Linked DNA regions of Oryctolagus cuniculus. Each later gene encodes a partner of the first gene's protein in a complex. Links are inferred from orthologs where the notes say so. Each region holds a gene or a part of one and is shown on either strand. Other genes may lie near its edges.

Region 1 (6,616 bases):
CCCTGCGTTAGCAGGAAGCTGACCGAAGACGGCTTCTCCTGCTGCGCCCTGACCCTGGCGTGCCGCCGCGAAGGACGAGCTCCCCTCTCAGGGAGCTCGGCGCAGCGGCCAGAACCCGCCTGGCCACCTCGGGCTCAGGAATGAAGGACGCCCGCCACCCGCACGGGAGACCCCCACGGAGCTCCAGCATCCTGGCCCCGGCCTGGCCCAGCCCCCGCCGCGGCGGCCATTCAGGGAGTGAGCCCGTGGATGAGAGATCTTCCCTCCCTCCCTCCCTCCCTCCGTCTCATTCCGCTTTTCAAACAAGTAAGTCTTCGGATGGTGGTCGAGTGGCGGCCCGCGCCCCACGTGGGAGACCCGGGTGGGGTCTGGCTCCTGACTTTGGCTGGCCCAGCCCCAGCTGTCGCAGACATCTGAGTGACCCAGATGGAAGACTCCCTCTCTCTCCCCTGTCGCCCTGCCTTTCAGATGAAATACATTTTAAAGGGGGTAAAAAAGGAATAAAATATTTCCCCAACTCTCTGTTTGTTCCCCAAATGCCCTCTCCCACTCCACCCCCCGCAGAGCCCGCACGGCAAACAGGACAGAAACTGCTATCCGTGAGCGTGCGCGTTGTCACGGGCCCACGGAGACACCTGCGGACGCTCCTGCGGCAGCTCAGGCGGAGCTGCGCCCCCGCCATGGCTGTGCGGGGGACCCCGGCCCGAGTCCCGCAGAGCGCGTGCGCCTGCGCAGTGGGGAGGGCGCCGTCGGCTGAGGGAGGTGGGTGACCCGGGCCCCTTGGCAACCTCTGCATGGTTACGGGGGCGGGGACGGGCTCCTGCAGTGCCTGCGGGTGGCACAGCAGGGACCCCGGCGCTGCGGAGCAGGTGCGGCAGGCGCCAGGCACGAGGGGCCCGGCCCACTGCACAGCGCGGCCGCTGCCCGGTGAGGCTGCCCGGTGAGGCTGACCGAGGCGGGGTCCCAGTGAGCTTTCTGCGTGCCGGAAGTGTAGCTCAGAGCCACGGGGCGGCGCTGCAGCGGCGCAGAGGATGAAACCGATGCCTGGGGCGCCAGCATCCCATGGAACGCTGGTTCGAGTCCCGGCTGCTCCAACTCCCCGCTAAAACAGCCGGGGAAGGCAGCAGCAGATGGCCCAAGTGGTCGGATCTGGCCACCCACGTGGGAGGCCCGGATGCAGCTCCAGGCTCCTGGCTTCAGTCTGGCCCGGCGCTGGCCACTGTGGACATTTGAGTGAAGCAGCAGATGGACGATCTCTCTCCAAAAATAAAGCGCAAAACCCTGGGCGCAGAGGCCGCGGCTCCGCACGCAGGCCTGCTGCCGCCCTCACCTGTGAAAACCTGCTTTGCAGAGGCCACTTCCGGAGGCTGGAAGTCGCAAAGGCTGGAAACCACCTAACTGTCCTTCTCCGGGACTTAACCAGCCAGCGCGGCCCGTGGAGGCCCACGGCTGGACCCGGGACCCAGGAGGGCGGCCAGGGCAGCTGTTCTGCAGGCCGAGCCCGGCGCACGGGGGCGCGCTCCGAGCGCACCTTGGCGGGAGAAGCCCCGAGGGAGGCGCTCGCCGGGCGCCAGCGGCTCAGGCAAGCCCAGCGCGGAGCTGGCACCCGGGCCTGGGGCGGGAACCCCGCGTGGGACTGGACACCACAGCGGGGGACCCCGGGCGGCCGCCTGGCCTGGCGGAGGTGACTGAGCTGGACCTCAGGCCTCGGCCCGAGATGCCTCTGGGGGTCTATGGGAGAACCACGACTACTACTAAATTTACTTGAAAGGAGGGGAGATCTTCCACCCGCTGGCCCGTCCCCAGATGCCTGCACAGGAAAGCTGTGGATGAGTCGGGGGAGACGGGCGCGCGCGCCCCATCCGAGTCTCTCTCGGGGGTGGCAGGGCCCAAGCACGTGAGCCGCGGGCTGCTGCAGCTGGTCAGCTCGGGCTCGACCCCCGGCTCTCTGCCGCGGGGTGCAGGCGTCCCAGGGGGGCTTACCCTGCTGAGCCGCCACACCCACCCCGTGGCCAAGGCTTTGAAACGGCGCAGCCAAACCGGGGAAGAGAGCGAGCGCGCATGCGCGCACCACGCCGGCCTCGGGCAGAACCCGGCAAAGGGAACGCGGCTGCTCCCGGCGCGCTGTGGGAGTCCTCTGTGGGGCTTTATTTTTATTTCAGAGAGGCTCCCTGCCGGCTGGTCGCTCCCCAGACGCCCGCAGGATTCGATCCCGGTGCCCCGCGTGGGACCTCCCCAGCACGCTGCCTCCCGGGGTCCCTGAGAGCAGGAAGCCGGAGCCCGGCACCCTGGCAGGGGCACGTCGCCCCCTCCGTGGGTTCAAACCGCGCACAGTGGCAGTGGGGCAGGCTCCGCGGACGTCTGATGGGAGACCAGTCGCACGGGACGGCAGCTGCGTCTGCAACGGTTTTACCGAGGTGGAATTCTTAGTACACAGCCCACCCACCCGCTTAGGGCACTGGGCCGCGGCCTGAAGTCCCCAGGGTGGTGCAGCCAGGACCACACCAACGCGAGGGCACTTCCACCCCCACCCACCACCAACCCGAGAAGCTGCGACCTATCTCTACGGTCCGCGGAGCGTGGCCCGCGGGGAAAGGGGCACACCCAGCCCCCTCCGGCTTCTTCCACTCCACGTGTTCAAGTACAACCACCCAGCTGCAGGTCCGGGCTTCCTGTCCCCCTGCAGACACACAGGACCCCCTGCACGGACACCTGGGACCCCCCTCCATGGACACACATGGCTGCCCCTGCACACACACCCGGGACCCCCCCCCCACCCCGCCTGGACACACACGGCTGCCCCTGCAGGGGCACCTGGGACCCCCCCCCCTCGCCTGGACATACATGGCTTCCCCTGCACGGACACCCAAGACCCCCCTGCCTAGACACACAGCTCCCCCTGCCCAGACACCCAGAACACCCGCCCCCCGCCTGGACACAGGGCCTCCCCTACACGGACACAGCTCCACAACCCGTGAAGGGCTCCCACTGTTTCCACGCTGTGTGTCCCCCTGCTGGCCGCCACGAACACGTGCACACCGGGTCCGTGTGAAGGGTGCTTCTACCCGACGGTGTCCGGCGAGAACCAGCGCAGGCCAGGAGAAGGCTGGGGTCCGGCTTCCCACCAGCCGCAGGGGAGCAGGCAGGGAGGGAGTCCCGCCCGGGGTTGGGCAGGGGAAGCCGAGGGGCTCTGCGGGGGGAGGGGGGCTGCCAGATCTGTGGGACGCAGAGGCAGGAAGGAGGTGTGGGGGCCCAGTGGAGGCAGCTGGGAGAGGCCGCGGGTCCCCTGTCTGCGCGGGCCCAGGACCGGGCTTTGCGGGCGCTGGGCTCCCCCCACAACTCTGACGACACAGCAGGGCAGGGGCAGGGTCCCAGGGCCCAAGGCCAGCTGCGTGCTGACAACTCCAAAGCCCGGCTCCCCATCGCCCCAGAATCTCCTCCGCACACCCCACCCCGCTCTCTCCCCCACTTCGGCAAACTGCGGTTCCAACAACTCCTGGGGTCACCCCAACTTCTCCTCCCCTCGGGACAAACGCTCGCTCCGCCTGGGAATCCCAGACCCAAGGCCAGGGGCTCCCACTCAGCCCCTCTGCCCACCCCCTGCCCATCCAGGCTCTGCCTTCACCGCGGTGCCCCCAAGCCTGCCTCCCTCTCAGCCTCCCCCATCCATTCTGCAAACCCAGGGGCCAGGGGTCACCCCCACGGCCGGCCTGGCTGAGCCCACCTGCCATCGCCCACCCTGTCCGCTGCCCCCCACGCCAGGCCCAAGCCACCCGCCATGCCTCCACCCGCTACACCCCCGATCTCCCCGGGGCAGCCAGCGAGCCTTGCAGAGGCCCCCCGCCCACGGCTCCTGGGTGGACCCCGACCTAAACCCGAACCCCACCCCTAGCCTTTCAGCCCGCAGCTACAAACACGCGGGGCCGTGGCAGGGGAGGCGCTGTGCCCGGATCCAAGCCGACCTCGACCCTCCAAGGCCGCTGCCCCAGGGAGGGCGAACCGGCGCCGCGGCTCCCGCTCCTAGCACGGCGCCCGGCCCGCGACGCCCCTCACACACTCAGGGAGCGGAGAGGGCGACCCCAGGCTCCCCGGGGCGCCGCACAGCCCCGGGGGCCTCCCGCCCCGCGCCCGGCGCGTGCGTCCGCGGAGACCCCCGGCCCCAGCCCCTCTCCCGCGCGCCCCCGCCCGCGCGCCCTCCGCGGGTCCCTCTCCTCAGGCCCGTGTTCCAGGCTACTCGAGTCCCCGTCCCGAGTGCCCCCGATTCCCGGTCTCCAGTACTCACAGCCTTCAAACACGGTTTCCCGCCACAGCCTACGCCGCCGTGACCCCTGACTCCGGCGCGCGCAAGCCCAGAGACAGCGCGCGCCGTGCTGGCCACGCCCCTACCCACGTGCGGGCGAGGCCACGCCCCTCCTCTCCGATAGGGAAGCGGCCTCGCTCCTTGGATCTCCAACTCCCGCCCCGCCGTGACGTAGCGGAGCAAAGACACGCCCCCGAGGGCCCGCTCGCTCCGCCGCTTGCTTTCTGCGCACGCGCGCAGCGTGCCTCGCCCCATCCCACTCGGTCCCGCCTCCCGCCCTCGGGCGCTGCGCGCACTCCATCCGCTTCCCGGCCCGCGGCCACGTCGGGAGGTCGAGCCGGGCGCTGCCCGCTGGTGGGCGGGCGGGGTGACGCCCAGCTGCCTCGCGCGCGCTGGCGGAGGCGAGACGAGTGCCGACCGGTTTGCCCAGTGGTACACTAGTGTCGGAGTAGGCTGCTTGGAATAGGGGGATCGCTGTAACCATCCCGCGCCCCAAGTAATACAACTTCCAGCATCCGGCACATCACCCCAGGCCGCCCGCGAGCGTCCGGCGTCCCCGCGGGGCCGGCACGCGGGCCGTCCGCGCTCTTCCAGCCCGTGTGCGCTCGCTCGGCTCAGGCCCAGCCCCCGGTCCTGGTCCCCCGGAAGGCGTGGCCGAAGCCGCTATGTGCTGCCCCCGCGGCGTCTGTCCGTCCACTGTCCAGTTCGGCCCAGAGGAGCGAACTCCACGTGCCTCAGCGGTGGTTCCGGGGCCCCAAGTCGTTTGACATCTGGGACGGCTGGCGCAGCGCCCACCAAAGGCCTCCCGGTGCGTGCTGGCCACGCAAGGGTTCCCTCACCAACTCCTGGGCCTCCCGCCAGAGCCAGCCCTGCAGCCCCGCAGCCCCGCAGCCCGGGGTCCGCCCTGGTCCTGCCCGCCGGAGCCCCGCAGCCCGGGGCCCGCCCTGGTCCTGCCCGCCGGAGCCCCGCAGCCCGGGGCCCGCCCTGGTCCTGCCCGCTGGAGCCCCGCAGCCCGGGGTCAGCCCTGGTCCTGCCCGCTGGAGCCCCGCGGCCCTGCAGCCCCTCAGCCCACCCCTGTCGGCGTCTCACACGCGGGCGCGGGGCTGGCTTGTATCTACTTTCCCTGTGTTTGCTGATTTTAGTTTTTATTAAATAAAAGGCTCAGAGGAGGAGGGGCCGTGGCGTCAGGCTGCGGGGGGGCCTCGGGCCCGCCCCCTCTGTTCAAGGTGCACTGCGCAGTGGTGGTGAGGGGTAAGCGGGCGGGGAGGGCGGCTGGCAGGGCCAGAGCTGGAGGCCTGAGCCCCGCCCCCTCCTGGAAGACTCGCTGGGGCTGGTCCAGGGCTGCAGGGGCCTGGGCCTTGCTCCAGGCCGCCAGGTAGGCCCAGGGGCCCAGCCCGGGCCCCTCCCACCCAGAGGAGGGAGGCGGGGGCGGCGGGGCGCGGCTGCGGGGCGGGGTGCGCCGGCGTCACTCGTCACTCGTGCACATCCCAGATCTCGGACAGCAGGGGCGGCAGCTTCTTGTCCTGGAGTCGCAGGGCGAAGACCTGCTCCGAGTGCACGGAGCTCAGCGTGCGCAGGCTCACCAGCTTCATCAGCATGCGCGGGAAGCGGAGCTGGTCCTGCGGGCGGACAGGGCGGTGGGCGGAGTCAGCGGGCGGAGGCGGAGTCAGCGGGGGGCGGGGGGCAGTGGGCGAGTCAGCGGGGGTGGGCGGGGGGCCGAGTCAGCGGAGGGGGGGGCGGTGAGCAGAGTCAGCTGGGGCGGAGGCGGGGTCAGCAGGGGGCACGGAGGGGCGGTGGGCGGAGTCAGCTGGGGCGGAGGCGGAGTCAGCGGTGGGGGGCGGGGGGGCCGAGTCAGCCGCCCCCCACCCCCACCCCCGCGCCGCAGGCCTCCCGGGGCCCGGCCGTACTTGCGGCCTCTTGATGCGCGTGTAGGAGAGCAGGGCCTCCACGTAGGGCTGCTGCAGCGCCTCCACGCGGCCCGGCTCCTGCACGTTGGGCCGGTCGGCCGAGAAGATGTTGATGGCGATGAGGAGGGCGTACTCGGCGTCGTCCAGCCCCAGGCGCCGCATGGCCCGCGAGAACTCGAAGATGGGGTTGATGAACTCCACCTGCAGGCCTGGGGGCGGGCAGACCGCAGCAGTGTCACGCGCCTGTCACTGCTCCCCGTGTCCCGGCTCGCGGAACGTTTCCTGGGAACACTCCGCTCTGTCGCCAGCACCCTGCCTTCCTGCGTGGACACCAGGGCAGAGGGACACGCGTGGGAGCTGGGTCACATGGCATCACCCCGGGGGTCCACTGCACCCCGCAGGCCGGGAG
Region 2 (5,764 bases), on another chromosome or scaffold:
GAACCGTTAACTAGGACCTTCCTCCCAGTCGTCCCAGCTGGACAAAGTCTGACACCTGGTGGCCAGGGTGAGGAATGGCCGAAGGGCCTCTGCAAACCTGCCCAGAACTTCTCTAGAGCCAGCATGGCCCAGAAGGGGGGGTGACCCGAGGAGGTGGGGGGACAGGGCAGAGGATAAATCAGATGGGCGGAGCCCCTTCCTCCTCTAGGCTCCTTCCCCTTAAGCCTGCTAAGCCAAGAACTTGGACCAAGGGGAGGAGGGGTGTTCGGGAGGGTAGAGGGCTGGGAGGACGGGCCCCAGGCCGAGGCGTCCTATCTCCTGTGCCGGCCCCCTCTCCAGCTCAGGGTGGGTGGCAGGGCCCAGGGGCCAGAGGAAGGCAGGCACTGGGGAGAAGGCAGAGCTGGACGCAGCCCACAGCCTGCCAGGCTCCAGCCGGCTGCTCCCCTCCCTCCGCTGCACCGTGCCGAGCCAGGCCTCATCCCCCGCCCCCTCGGAGCCCTCAGCGGTGGGCCTCAGCCCTCAGGAGAGTGCTGGGCTCCTGCTCCCGTTCTTTTCTCTGCGGGGCTTCCTGGTCCTGCCCCTGAAGCAAAGGCCTGGGATGCTCCCGGGCCAAGGTTCAAAGGTCACCACCAGCATCTTGGTGTCAAGACCGGCACAAGGAAGCTATGTCCCAACTCAGACCTCTGGCCGGCCCTCCAGCCCAAAGCCAGAGCCTCGACAGGCTCCAGGATGAGGTGGTAGGAGGCTGATGGCGCTAGGGAGGAGAGGGCCTGAGGCTGCAGTGCCCCTTAGTGGTCCAGACACGGAGTAGGGGGAGACCAGCGGGACAAGAGTGGTCCCCACCCCCGGGGTGCCAATGCCACCCTGGGGTGCGACCCCACTGTTCCCGGAGCAGGAGAGGAGGGAAGGCCTTCGGGGGAGGGGGCTCCCTCAGCTCCAGCCGATGCCGGCACGCGACCTGCCCACTAGGACGCTCTTCCTGGAGCTGAGGGGCACGGAAGTCCCTGGGCGACATCTTCCTGACTGGGTGGGCGAGGTTGGCAAGGCCCGAGCCGGGCGGAGCCGGGGGCGACTGGCAGGAACGGTGCCCACAGTGCCCACAGAGCAGGTCAGGGTGCCTGAGGCTGCCAGAGCAGAGAGACGAGGCCCAGGCACAGCAGGAGCCGCTGTGGCCTCCCAGCGGCACACCCCATTTCACGCTCCCTGGGCGGTGGCAGGGCCCCACGGCTATCAGCTTTCAGGGGTGGGAGGGACCAGGAATGAGGAGGGGTCTGCCCCACCCATGACTCCCACTCCTTCAGGCCTTTGTGGGCTCGGGAGGTGGACGCCACATGTCTCTGAGAACAGCCCGGGAGCCCCTCGTCGAGGCCCCGGGGTCTGGGCGCCACCTCTCCAGGGAATGCTCAGTGCCCCACTGGACTCCGCTCCAGGCCCCCGCTGCCCTCCCCGGATGTGCCCGGGAGGGAGGTGGGCAGTGACAGCGGGACACAGGGCAGGGCCCCCTAGCCCTGCACTGCTTCCCTCTGAGGAAGATGAAGGGAGAACCGGCAGGAGGCGGCCCCGGAAGACAGGCTAGTCCTCTGCTTCCCCTCTGGGAAGCACTCTCCTCCTGGGTCTCTGTGTGTACCGGGGCCCAGCCCGCTTCCTGACCCGGAGCACCGGGCCCGCGCACTGGGAAAGAGGCCAGCAGAGGCCCCCAGCAGGCGCCAACCCTCACAGCCCTGGAGGGAAGGACCGGATGGGCGCCCCGGCTCGAGGGTGATCAGGGCCGGGCTGTCTCTGTGCTGGTTCCCAGCCTCCCACTGGCCAGCACTTTGCCTGCTGCCAGGAAATTGGTGAGGGGGAGGCGGGAGTAGGGGTGAGTCAGCAGTGACAGGAGCCCAGGGGACAAAGGTCACGGGTGGGGGATTGAGAGCCACTGTGTACCAGAGCCTACCTCCTCCAGGAGGCCTCCTGACACCAACTGCACTGTGGACCCACCCCACGCCTGTCCTCCGTCTTCCAACGGCACCCCCTCTGCCCTGGGGACCTGGGGCGCAGGGAGGGGCTGTGGTCCAACAGGGGTCCCCGCAATGCCAGTCTATCGGCAGGGATAATAATTTATCCATACTGCCTACTTTCAAAAACCCTTGCCATCTGCTTAAACGGAGTTGCTGTGGGGATGGTTAGAGCGGTCCCTGCAACACAGCGCACGCTGCGCTGTGAGCGTTTTCTGCTCCCAGGCACGATGCTGCAAGACGGTGCAGGTCTGGCTGGGAAGAACTGGGGACCCAGAGGCCCCGTGAGAGACCCCAGCTCTGGCCTCAGGCTACCCAGGGGACCTTCCTGACCACTAGGGTGAGCAGAGGCAGGCTTCGGACCCCAGGAGAGCCGACAGGGCCACGCGCGGCCTCCACCAGCAGTGTGGGCAGTGTCTGGGCACAGGCTGTGAGAAAGGAGCTGTCAGAGCCCAAGGCCCCCACCAGCGCTCCTGGGGCGGGTGGGAGCAGGGCAGGGGGCTGGATTAGCCCAAACTCTCTTCGGACCTCCAGACCTGCCCCCACAACGCTCGGGTCCAAGGCCCCGGAGAGGAAGGTTCCAGATGGGCTCTGGGGAGTTACAAACCCGACACGGGGATTAGTGAGGCTGAAAAGAACATTTGCCTAGGAAGGCAAAACGGGAAGTGAGAGGCCCAGGATAACGCTCCGTGCGTCCCCGGGGACCCACGGAGACCAATGGGGGGCGGGAGGAGGTGGTGAAGTCTGGGGCATCTTGACAGGTCCCCACCCCTCCCGAACCCCTCCTCCCCCAGAGCACAGCTGCAGCAGCTGCCCCGCCCCTCGCCCTGCGCCGCGCGCCATTGGCTGGGGCCCGGGCCCCGCCCCACAGCGGCGGCCTGCCATTGGCTTCGGTCTTTGCTATTTGCGTGTTTGTGGGGGCGGGGGGCAGGCGTCATCCCCTGGAACCAGGCGACTTCCTCTCGGGCTTGTCTGGGTCATCTCGTCTGCCCGTCGCTGGCCCCATCTCGCTCTCTGGCCACGACTCTCTCGCGCTCTCCCCTAGCAGCTGTCTCTCTCGCGCCCGCTGGCCTGTCTCTTCGTCCCCGCGGTCACCTTCTCCGCCTGCCTGGGTGGCCACCATGGGCCGGAAGCAGCTCATCACTGACTCCTACCCTGTTGTGAAGCGGGGGGAGGGGCCTGCCGGGCACTGCAAGGGGGAGCTGGCACGAGAGCTAGGTCTCTGAAGCGCGGGGGAGGTCGGAGGAGTGGACAGCAGGGGCCGGAGAGGACGTGGGCGGGGGCAGATGGAAGGGGAAGCGTAGCACGTCCTCTCCTTCCGGCTGACAGGGCTGGCCGCCGGGTGGCAGAGGCAGAGAGCCGCTGAGGAGGGCTGCGGGCACCCGCCTGAGGAGCAGTGTCATTGCAGGGGAGGAGCCCCGGCCCCCCGGCGGGGAGGAAGCCGTGCTGGAGCTGCTGCGGCAGTTTGACCTGGCCTGGCAGTACGGGCCCTGCACAGGTGAGCGCCGCCCTGTCTCCCCGCCTGCCTCGCCTGCCTCTCGGGCGCCTGCGCCCGGCCCTGGGGTCTCAGGACGCGGCGCCTCGGCGCGCATTATCTGGGTGTGCCGGACTCTTCCTGCGCCCCATGAGGCCCGGGTCTCCTGCCTGCCCCTCAGGGATCACCCGTCTGCAGCGCTGGCACCGGGCAGAGCAGATGGGCTTGGAGCCGCCACCAGAGGTGCTCCAGCTGCTGAAGGCCCACCCAGGAGACCCCCGCTTCCAGTACAGGTCAGAGACAGGCTCGGGGCTTTTGGGTACCACCCGATGGGGAGGCTGCCCTGACCGAGGGGGCGTGGATGCAGGTTTGGGGGTTATGTTTTAATAATTCTCTCTCTGAGCTACTGGGGGAAGGGGTGACCCCAGGCCCCCCGGTTCTGTCTGCAGTACTGAGGGTCTGCCCGCATCAGACCGAGGGGCCTCACTGACTGTCTCTCTCTCTCTCTGGCAAATCCCCCGTCTACACAGCCTCTGGCACTTCTACCCCCTCTGAGGCATCAGCTGAGCCCTGCTGCCGCTGGCACTCCCGCCAGCCGCCCGAGAGCCTCAGGACAGAGCCATCGCCACCTGCACCTGCTGCTGCGTAGCTCAGCTCCACTGTGGAGGAGCGCTTGGAGGGCTCCGGTCCTCCATCCAGCCCCCACCCCACCCCCAGGGCGAGCTCCTGCAGGAAGTGCTGTCCGCAGGACGAGGACCTGGCCAGGGCCCTTCCAATGCCTTCCTCAACCAGGCAGAGCCGGACGCAGGCTGGCGACCTCGGAGGCCGGAGTGCACACCCGACCTCAGGCTGGGGAGCGGAGGGCAGGACTGGCTGAGTTCTCAGGGCAAGGGGTTCATGCACACTTATCAATAAAGAACACTGGAATCCTGACCTCCATTCCTTTAACGTGGCCCGGCCTTGGCTGGCAGGCCCCAGCAAGCTCCGAGGTGGGAGACAGCCAGCACCAGGCCTCACCTTTCCTCCCGCTTGAGCGGGAGGGGAGACACCCAGACAGAACCACGGAGCCCGCACTCTGCGCTCTCTGGCGCCCTCTGGTGGTGCACGAGAACTACTCTAGTCATCATCGGGGACCAGCCAGGGAAAACCTGCCTGCGCTACTGCCACCCAGCCAGCCCCATGTTGCCGGAGGAGGGTCCGGGGGCCAGACGGACCTACACGTTCCCACCAAGCACCTCTGCTTCCCTCACCAGGGTCGACCAGGAGCCACCGCAAGGCTGGGGAGGTCTTACCTTGCAGGACCTGCTCAGACATGGCCACCTGGGGCTCTGGAAGGGAACCCACAGTGCTGGGGACAGAGGGAGCTGGCTGGGGACGGGGTAACGCGGAGGAGACCCGGGTCAGGGTGTGACGTGGAGGGTGCAGTGGCTCCCCTCTCTGGCAGTCCTGTCCCAGCCCCGCAGGGACTCCTAGACACAGGCCAGGACAGGCCTCCGGGGCTTAGTGCCACCTTCCTGAGCACTGCCCGCGTTGCAGGGACTTCAAGTGCACAGTGTTCAGAGAGGTCAAGTGAAGATCCCCAAAGCACCCAGCAGGAAGGTGGCCAGGCAGGCCATGACCTTGCCCCGTGCCGGGCACCAAAGGTCTTGGGTGTTTATGAACAGTGGGGAGGTGGACAAGGCGGAGCACAGAGGTGCTGTCCCAGAGAGCCGGGGCAGAGGGCCCGCGGCAGCACTGGACAGAAGCCTGGAAGGAGTAGGGGCACCAGGTTGCACCCACAGCAGTGTTCCAGACGAAGGGACGGCAAACAGGAAAGCCCCGTGGCAGAAGCATGCCCCATGTGTTCCAGGAACAGGTGGAGGCGAGTGTAGCCAGGGAGGGCAGTGCCGAGTGAGGCCAGGCAGCGGGCAGGCCGGTGCCACAGGGCCTTGGGGCCATGGCAGGAAATCTGGGTTTTATTCTGGGAGGGGAAGGCGTCGGAGGGCTCGAGGCCAGTCAGTGACATCATGACACTGATGTTTTGGAAGCATTCCTCTGGCTGCTGGTCGAGAGCAGGTTGTGGAGCTGGGAGAAGACAGGTGGCGGCCGCACTCGGGAGGCTGCTGGAGTCGGCCTGGTGACGGTGACGGTGACCTGGGCCAGGGTGCGGGAGGGGCAGAGCCGCGAAGAAGCGCCAGGTCCTCTCCCTTCCGGAGGGAGAATGGACAGGACCTTCTGGCCAGCTGGCTGTGGGACTGAAGAGAGAGGAGCCAAGGACGGCCGCACAGTCCCGCCGGGCTCCCCTCACCGAGAC
Region 3 (6,488 bases), on another chromosome or scaffold:
ATCATTCCCATCGCGTTCAAGTTTTCCAATTGAGTGACGGCGGTTCCCACCGTAAGGCCCGGCCCGCAGAGGAGGGCGACCACACAGGTCTTCAGGGATGCTGGGGCGCCCCTCACAAATCGGTTCCTCACCGCGCTGGTGAAAAGCGCATCTTCGGGGCCCTCCCAGGGCAGGGGGGTGGATCTCAGGTGACACAGCCACTCCACCATGCCGATCTCCCTGAGCCTGCGAATGCCCTCCTCCAGGGTAAACCACGGGAGGTCTGGCATCTCCAGCTCGCGCACGCTGGGCCATCTTTTAACCCACGTCTCGGCCAACCAACCGAATAAGCTGTTAGCGCCTTTCTTAACTCCCTGAGCGGCCAGGTTGAAGGCGGGATCCCGGCTCAGGGAGCCCAGGTCGATGAATTCAGCCCGGACCAACTTTAAGTTCTTCCCCCCGTTATCCCACACCCTGAGTATCCACTCCCACACTTGCTCTTCAGTCTTCTGCTTGTACAAAGCGGAAAACTCCAGCAGTTCCTTCGGGCTGTAGCGCGCCTTCTCACGGCTTCTCACGGCCTCAGGGGCCTGCCGAGAACCGGGGCCAGCTACCTGTCTGCAGGACAAGAGGGGTGACGCGGCGGGGTCCTGAGGCGCCTCAGCCTGGCTCTGCCTGGCGGCTGCTCCAGGAGAAGCCATGCCCACTTCCTCGGGCGACGCAGAACTGACGCCCTCCGCCGCCGCCGCCGGGGCGGGGGAAGCCGCGAGTGGGGATGCGGGGACCACGCTGGGGGGCGGGAGGCCCAGTTCCACTGGCAAGCAAGCCTCCTCGGCATTTAGGGGCTCGGCGTCCGCAGCTTCGTCCAGCTCCTCCCACACGTCGCCGTCCCAGCGTACGGGATCCCACTCTTTGCCGACCAGCGCTCTGACTTTCACGGCAGACACCCTGCGAGGCCGCGAGTTCAGCTTCCGCTGCAATTCCGCCAGCCGCACGATGAGGGCTTGGGCTTGGTTCTCCGCCACCTCCGCCCTGTGGCTACAGGAGAGGAGACTCTGGCCCAGGACGCTCTTGGAAACCCTGAGGTCGTTGACGCGGAGCTGCAGCCGGTAAACCTCGTCCCTGAGTTCGTCTCTGTCTCTCACCACCCTGTCCAGCGAGGACAGGAGCAGCCAGCCAGCGTCCCTGTGCTCCCTGGTTCCCCACAGGAGCTGGAAGGTCCCATGGACGGAGTCACCGAGTTCCTGGCCTCCCTCGAGCGGTGACTCGGGAGAGTCCACCGCGTTTATCCTGCACATCTCTAAGAATAGCTCCCGCCACGGATTGCAGGTGCTGTCCGCACCGTCGGAAGGAGAATCCTTTGCGTCTTTAGGTCTAACCATATTACACAGCCAATTCCAGAAGCCCCAAAGCCAATGAAGGAAACCCATCTTAGAATTCGGAACCACTCCTGAGACCCAAGTCGGTGCTGCAGTTCCGGGGAGAGAGAGAGAGAGAGAGAGCGCGAGCGAGCAAGACCCCGCGGGAAATGTATAAGGTATCTGACAGGAGAGCGGTCAGCGGCGGGCGGCGTGGCTCACGTGGCACAGGTCCACTGCAACGTGGGGCGCCGGCAGCGTGGCTCCCAGTCTGAAGGCCTCCGAGCCCGGAAGGTAACGGCGTCACTCTTAGCCCACGGCTGACGGCCAGGGGAGCGCGGACCGTGCTGGAGCCCAGGGTCAGCGCGGCTGCAGTTCCGACGCCCAGCGCGTGTCTCGGGCCTGCTGGGGTAGAAGGAGAGAGATCAACCCGTCTCGTGTTTATTTCCTCTCGGCCTGCCCCGCCTGGCCGTCCACTGGGCATCGCAAGACAGCCCCTCTGCAAACACCCTCACAGACCCCCGCAACGCAAGGCCTCTGCGCACTCCTTAAGCGAGCCAGGCTGGCACCTAAGTCAGCCACCACAAGGACACGACAAGAGTCCACCGTGTCTGGGGCCGGGCCTGGCGGGAGGAGCGGGAAGGCAAGGACCCGCCACGCCTCTCGCCCAACTCGCTGCCCGCCCTACAGAGCAACCGCCCTCTTCCAGGTCCACGTTACCCTCACTTGGGCTCAGGTCACCGTTCTGCAGAGACAGCCGGAAATCAAGCGCTTGGCCAGCAGGACCAGCCTGCGGGGAACCCGGGCAGTGCCCACCCTGCACGGTGCAGGCCACCCGCGCGGACCCAGCCTCCTGGGTTCCGGGCACGCGCATGCGCACGGACGAGCATGGGCCTGTCCGTCCCGGCCCCGCCTCCCGTCGCCTGGGAAACCGGGGGCGTGGCTCCGCGCGGCGCGGTGAGTGAGAAGCGCGGGGGCCGGCGGGATGCAGCGGGCGCTGTGGGGCCGACCCGGGCGGAGACCGATTGGTGAGATGCGGCCGCGGACGGGGAGCGCTGGATGGCGATTGGCGGAGTGAGGCAATGAATGGGGCGGGGCTGGCGGCGATTGGCTGGCTACGGCGATGGGCGGGGCGGGCGCGCGGGGGTCGGCGGGATGCGGCGCGCCGCTTGGTGAGGGTTTTCCGGTGAAGCGGTGTCTTGGCGGGCCGCGGGTGCGAGCTCGAGAGTCGGGGACGTCCCGCCGCTGCCGCGCAGCGCTGCTCTCGGGGGCCGGCCGCGGGTGCTCGGGGGTCGCTCCTGGAAAGCCCGCGTCCCGGCCCCGCGCTGTCCAGCGGGCCGCGGGGCCCTGACCCGTCGCGGAGCCGCGCCCAGGCGGTGAGTAGCCGGTGTCCAGAGGCGCTGCTCGCTCCGGGGAGTCGGCCTGTGGCGCTCCGCGGGCGCCAGGTGTCCGTGCGGGTTGCTGGGAGGTGCGTGCCGAGCCAGAGGGCCGAGGTGTGGTTCGGGGTGGGCAGCGGGAGGTGCCCGCGAGCGCGGACCGGGGCGAGCGCGCGCGGGCGCGGGCGCAGGTGCAGCGAGAGGATCCGGAGGCGGGGAGCGCGTGGCACGGGCCGTGGTGAGGCCTGGGCGCTCGGCGCGGCCCGTGGCCGGTGTGTGTCACCGTGGCGATGGTGGTTATTTAGCAATAGCGCGTGCTTCTGGGGTGGGCTCGCGCCCTGGGCTGGGGCAGGTGCAGGGGGCTGGGGAGGCGCGGGTCAGGGATTCCGTTCGCGAGCCTGGCAGGCGGCCTGGGGGTGTGAAGCCGGCAGGGGTCACTCGGGTCCGGGGTTCAGCCGCACTCCGGTGGGAGAGGCTCCCTTGCTCCCTGCCGGGACTGTCCGGTCTGGCCCCCGGAGGCGGTGCGGGCAGCCGCGTTTGGCACCGGGCGAGGGTGGCAGGGATGCCTTTGTGTGCCCACAGGACCCCTCCTCGGCCGGGACGCAGCCATGTTTTCCGAGCAGGCCGCCCAGCGTGCCCACACGCTGCTGTCCCCTCCGTCCGCCAACAACGCCACCTTCGCCCGGGTGCCCGTGGCCACCTACACCAACGCGTCGCAGCCTTTCCGCCTGGGCGAGCGCAACTTCAACCGGCAGTACGCGCACATTTACGCCACGCGCCTCAGCCAGATGAGACCCTTCCTGGTGAGCCGGGCCCGGCAGCGCTGGGGTGAGTGTGGGCGCGCGCGGCTCCAGGTTTCCCCGATCGGTCCCATTTGTGAGTTACCTGGGAACGCTAGCCCGTCCCTCGCGGCGTCCTCACGTAACCAGGACTGGTGTAAGACCTGTGGTGTGAGGTGGAGGCCAGAGGCTGCTCCCAGGTCAGGGTGGAGCACTGAGAGCCGTTGTTGCGGTGGGGGGAATGGTTTAGGTGCAGGGCACTCCACCGTTCGCCCATGCCCGAGCGCGGCTGGCCTGGCACCGGAGCCACCGGCGGCGGGGCCCCTCCGTTTCTGCTTCCTGCCGCCCAGCGGCCGTGACTCCCCTGACCCTCAGCATTCTGTCTTTCCAAATAAAGACCCGGGCTGTGCAAGCTGTTTTCTCGTCCCCGTCTCTTCCCCGGTGGGCTCTCCTACCCCTCGATGCCCTGGGGGTGAGACAGGACCCGGCCTCTCACTCCCGACTCTGGTGGTGCCCCGTTACCCCAGCTGTGGGACTGGCACACGGCCGCTGTTCCTGATGCATCTCCGAGACGGTCATCATGAGACCGTGTCTTACCCAGGCCGGGTGGGTCTTGGGCCAGCCTGCCCCAGGGTCAGTCTGCCCCTGGCCCGCGCCCTCCCTGGGGTCAGTCTCCCCCAACACAGTATCTCCCCCTGGCCCACCCCGGGGTCAGTCTGCCCCTGGCCCGCGCCCTCTCTGGGGTCCGTCTGCCCTGGCCTGGCCTGTGCCCTCTCTGTGGTCGGTCTGCCCTGGCCTGTGCCCTCTCCGGGGTTGGTCTGCCCTGGCCTGTGCCCTCCCTGGAGTCGGTCTGCCCTGGCCTGTGCCCTCCCTGGGGTCAGTCTGCCCTGACCCACGCCCTCTCTGGGGTCGGTCTGCCCTGGCCTGTGCCCTCCCTGGGGTCAGTCTGCCCTGGTCCGCCCCCTCTCTGGGGTCGGTCTGCCCTGGCCTGTGCCCTCCCTGGGGTCAGTCTGCCCTGGCCCGCGCCCTCTCTGGGGTCGGTCTGCCCTGGCCTGTGCCCTCCCTGGGGTCAGTCTGCCCTGGCCCGCCCCCTCTCTGGGGTCGGTCTGCCCTGGCCTGTGCCCTCCCTGGGGTCAGTCTGCCCTGGTCCGCCCCCTCTCTGGGGTCGGTCTGCCCTGGCCTGTGCCCTCCCTGGGGTCAGTCTGCCCTGGTCCGCCCCCTCTCTGGGGTCGGTCTGCCCTGGCCTGTGCCCTCCCTGGGGTCAGTCTGCCCTGGCCCGCGCCCTCTTTCAGGGGTCAGTCTGCCCTGGCCTGTGCCTTCCTTGGGGTCTGTCTGCCCCTGGCCTGCACCCTCTCAGGGGTCAGTCTGCCCTGGCCTGTGCCCTCCCCGGGGTCACTCTGCCCCTGGCCCGTGCCCTCCCTGGCCTTTGCCCTCCCTGGGGTCAGTCTGCCCCTGGCCTGCACCCTCTCCAGGGTTGGTCTCCCTTTGGCCTGTGCCCTCCCGGGGGTCTGTCTGCCCCTGGCCTGTACCCTCCTTGGGGTCTGTCTGCCCCTGGCCTGTGCCCTCCCGGGGGTCTGTCTGCCCCTGGCCTGCGCCCTCTCTGGCGTCTGTCTGCCCCTGGCCTGCCCTGGGGTTGGTCTGCCCTGGCCTGCGCCCTCTCCAGGGTCAGCCTGCCCTGGCCCATGCCCTCCCCGGAGTCTTGTCTCCTCACCTCGGTTTCCTGTCCTTCTATCACCGTCACCGTGACTCTCTGGGGCCTCCCCGTGTTTTCTGCTCAGCCTTGCACTTCTCACAGTGGTCAGTTGCTGATTAGTCATTGGTGCATCAGCTAATGTCTCTCCGCCTCCCACACAGGGCTCAGAGAGGCCAAGGGCCGGCCAGTTTCATCCATCCTCAGTGTTGGCACTCGCACATAACGGGGTGTGTGTGTATGTGTGTGTGGCCCGCCCGTGTCCTTCTGGCTGGTGCTCGGGCACAGCTTGAGTCCAGCTGTGTGACCCTGGACATGTTCCCTGACCTCTCTGAGCGCTGTCTGCTGCTGGCACAGGGTCAGGGTTGGCCGAGTTGCGTGTACAGTGCTTAGACGGGGCTGCCTGGGGATCTGGGATCTGTTTGCATGGGTGTGTGGCATTCTGTGGGGCCCACCTCGCCCTTGTTTGAGTTACCTCCCTCTGCTCCCCAGGCTGTAGCTCAGGAATGTTCTTGGCGAGAGGACTGGGCTGTGCGGGGTCTGTTCCAAGAGATCCACGGGCCTTGGGGACTTGCGGGCCTTCCTCTGCCCGCCCTCACTCCCCGCCTTCCTCCTGAGCCAGCCAGTGCCCTCGTGGGCTCACTGGGTGAGCAGGGCTGCCTGACTCCACGGGAACGGGACTGGGGTCTGAACCTGGGGGACCTCTCCAGAGGAAGAAGCGTTTGGCAGGAGAATCCTGACTCCACAGGACAGTTGTAACATCGGTGTCTCTTTCTCAGGATGGCGTCCCAGCTGGGGTAGGGCGGAGTAACACTGAGTGGCTCCGTGGCTGCTGGGAACGGACGCCTCCCTCCCCGCTCGCGGCGCTGCTAGGGCCTGGGCCTTACTCATGCGGCCTCTCCTCTGCCTCTCACGAGGACACCCGGCGTCCCCGGGGCTGGCCCCCTTCGCTGGCGTGCCCGCGTCTGAGTCTGTGCCCCCGCCCCCCAGGCAGTGGCACCGAGGTGAAGAAGCTGTGTGAGCTGCAGTCCGGAGAGCAGTGCTGCGTGGTGGGCACTCTCTTCAAGGCCATGCCCCTGCAGCCCTCCATCCTGCGCGAGATCAGCGAGGAGGTGAGACCGTGGCACGCAGAGCCGGACACAGCTCACGTCTGCCCACAGGAAGGTGGTGCGGTGGGCAGGCAGGTCCAGACGGATGCGGGCTGCGGTGTCCTTGGGTGGCTCAGCCCCACGTGGCTTCCGTTTCTGTATTCCAGCACAACCTGCTCCCGCAGCCGCCTCGGAGCAAGTACATCCACCCCGATGAC

Evidence for each region.
Region 2: POLD1 (region 1) and POLD4 share a complex: the UniProt entries of both Homo sapiens proteins name them as parts of the tetrameric DNA polymerase delta complex. The link is inferred for Oryctolagus cuniculus from reciprocal best matches to the Homo sapiens genes POLD1 and POLD4.
Region 3: POLD1 (region 1) and POLD2 share a complex: the UniProt entries of both Homo sapiens proteins name them as parts of the tetrameric DNA polymerase delta complex. The link is inferred for Oryctolagus cuniculus from reciprocal best matches to the Homo sapiens genes POLD1 and POLD2.

Annotation. Positions count from the first base shown.
Region 1 is NC_091449.1:7,467,481-7,474,096, forward strand, and holds the start of POLD1 (DNA polymerase delta catalytic subunit), read right to left. Parts: upstream 4,374-6,616; 5' UTR 4,283-4,373; intron 1-4,282. Other genes in the region: NR1H2 (oxysterols receptor LXR-beta), read right to left, coding at 5,773-5,919, 6,208-6,416. UniProt on the Homo sapiens protein: As the catalytic component of the trimeric (Pol-delta3 complex) and tetrameric DNA polymerase delta complexes (Pol-delta4 complex), plays a crucial role in high fidelity genome replication, including in lagging strand synthesis, and repair.
Region 2 is NC_091432.1:4,678,448-4,684,211, forward strand, and holds POLD4 (DNA polymerase delta subunit 4), read left to right. Parts: upstream 1-2,901; 5' UTR 2,902-3,118; coding exon 3,119-3,215; intron 3,216-3,405; coding exon 3,406-3,495; intron 3,496-3,652; coding exon 3,653-3,764; intron 3,765-4,001; coding exon 4,002-4,026; 3' UTR 4,027-4,404; downstream 4,405-5,764. UniProt on the Homo sapiens protein: As a component of the tetrameric DNA polymerase delta complex (Pol-delta4), plays a role in high fidelity genome replication and repair.
Region 3 is NC_091447.1:51,599,862-51,606,349, reverse strand, and holds the start of POLD2 (DNA polymerase delta subunit 2), read left to right. Parts: upstream 1-2,479; 5' UTR 2,480-2,805; intron 2,806-3,109; exon of another isoform or gene 3,110-3,178; intron 3,179-3,295; 5' UTR 3,296-3,321; coding exon 3,322-3,541; intron 3,542-6,172; coding exon 6,173-6,294; intron 6,295-6,437; coding exon 6,438-6,488. Other genes in the region: Friend virus susceptibility protein 1, read right to left, coding at 1-1,409. UniProt on the Homo sapiens protein: Accessory component of both the DNA polymerase delta complex and the DNA polymerase zeta complex.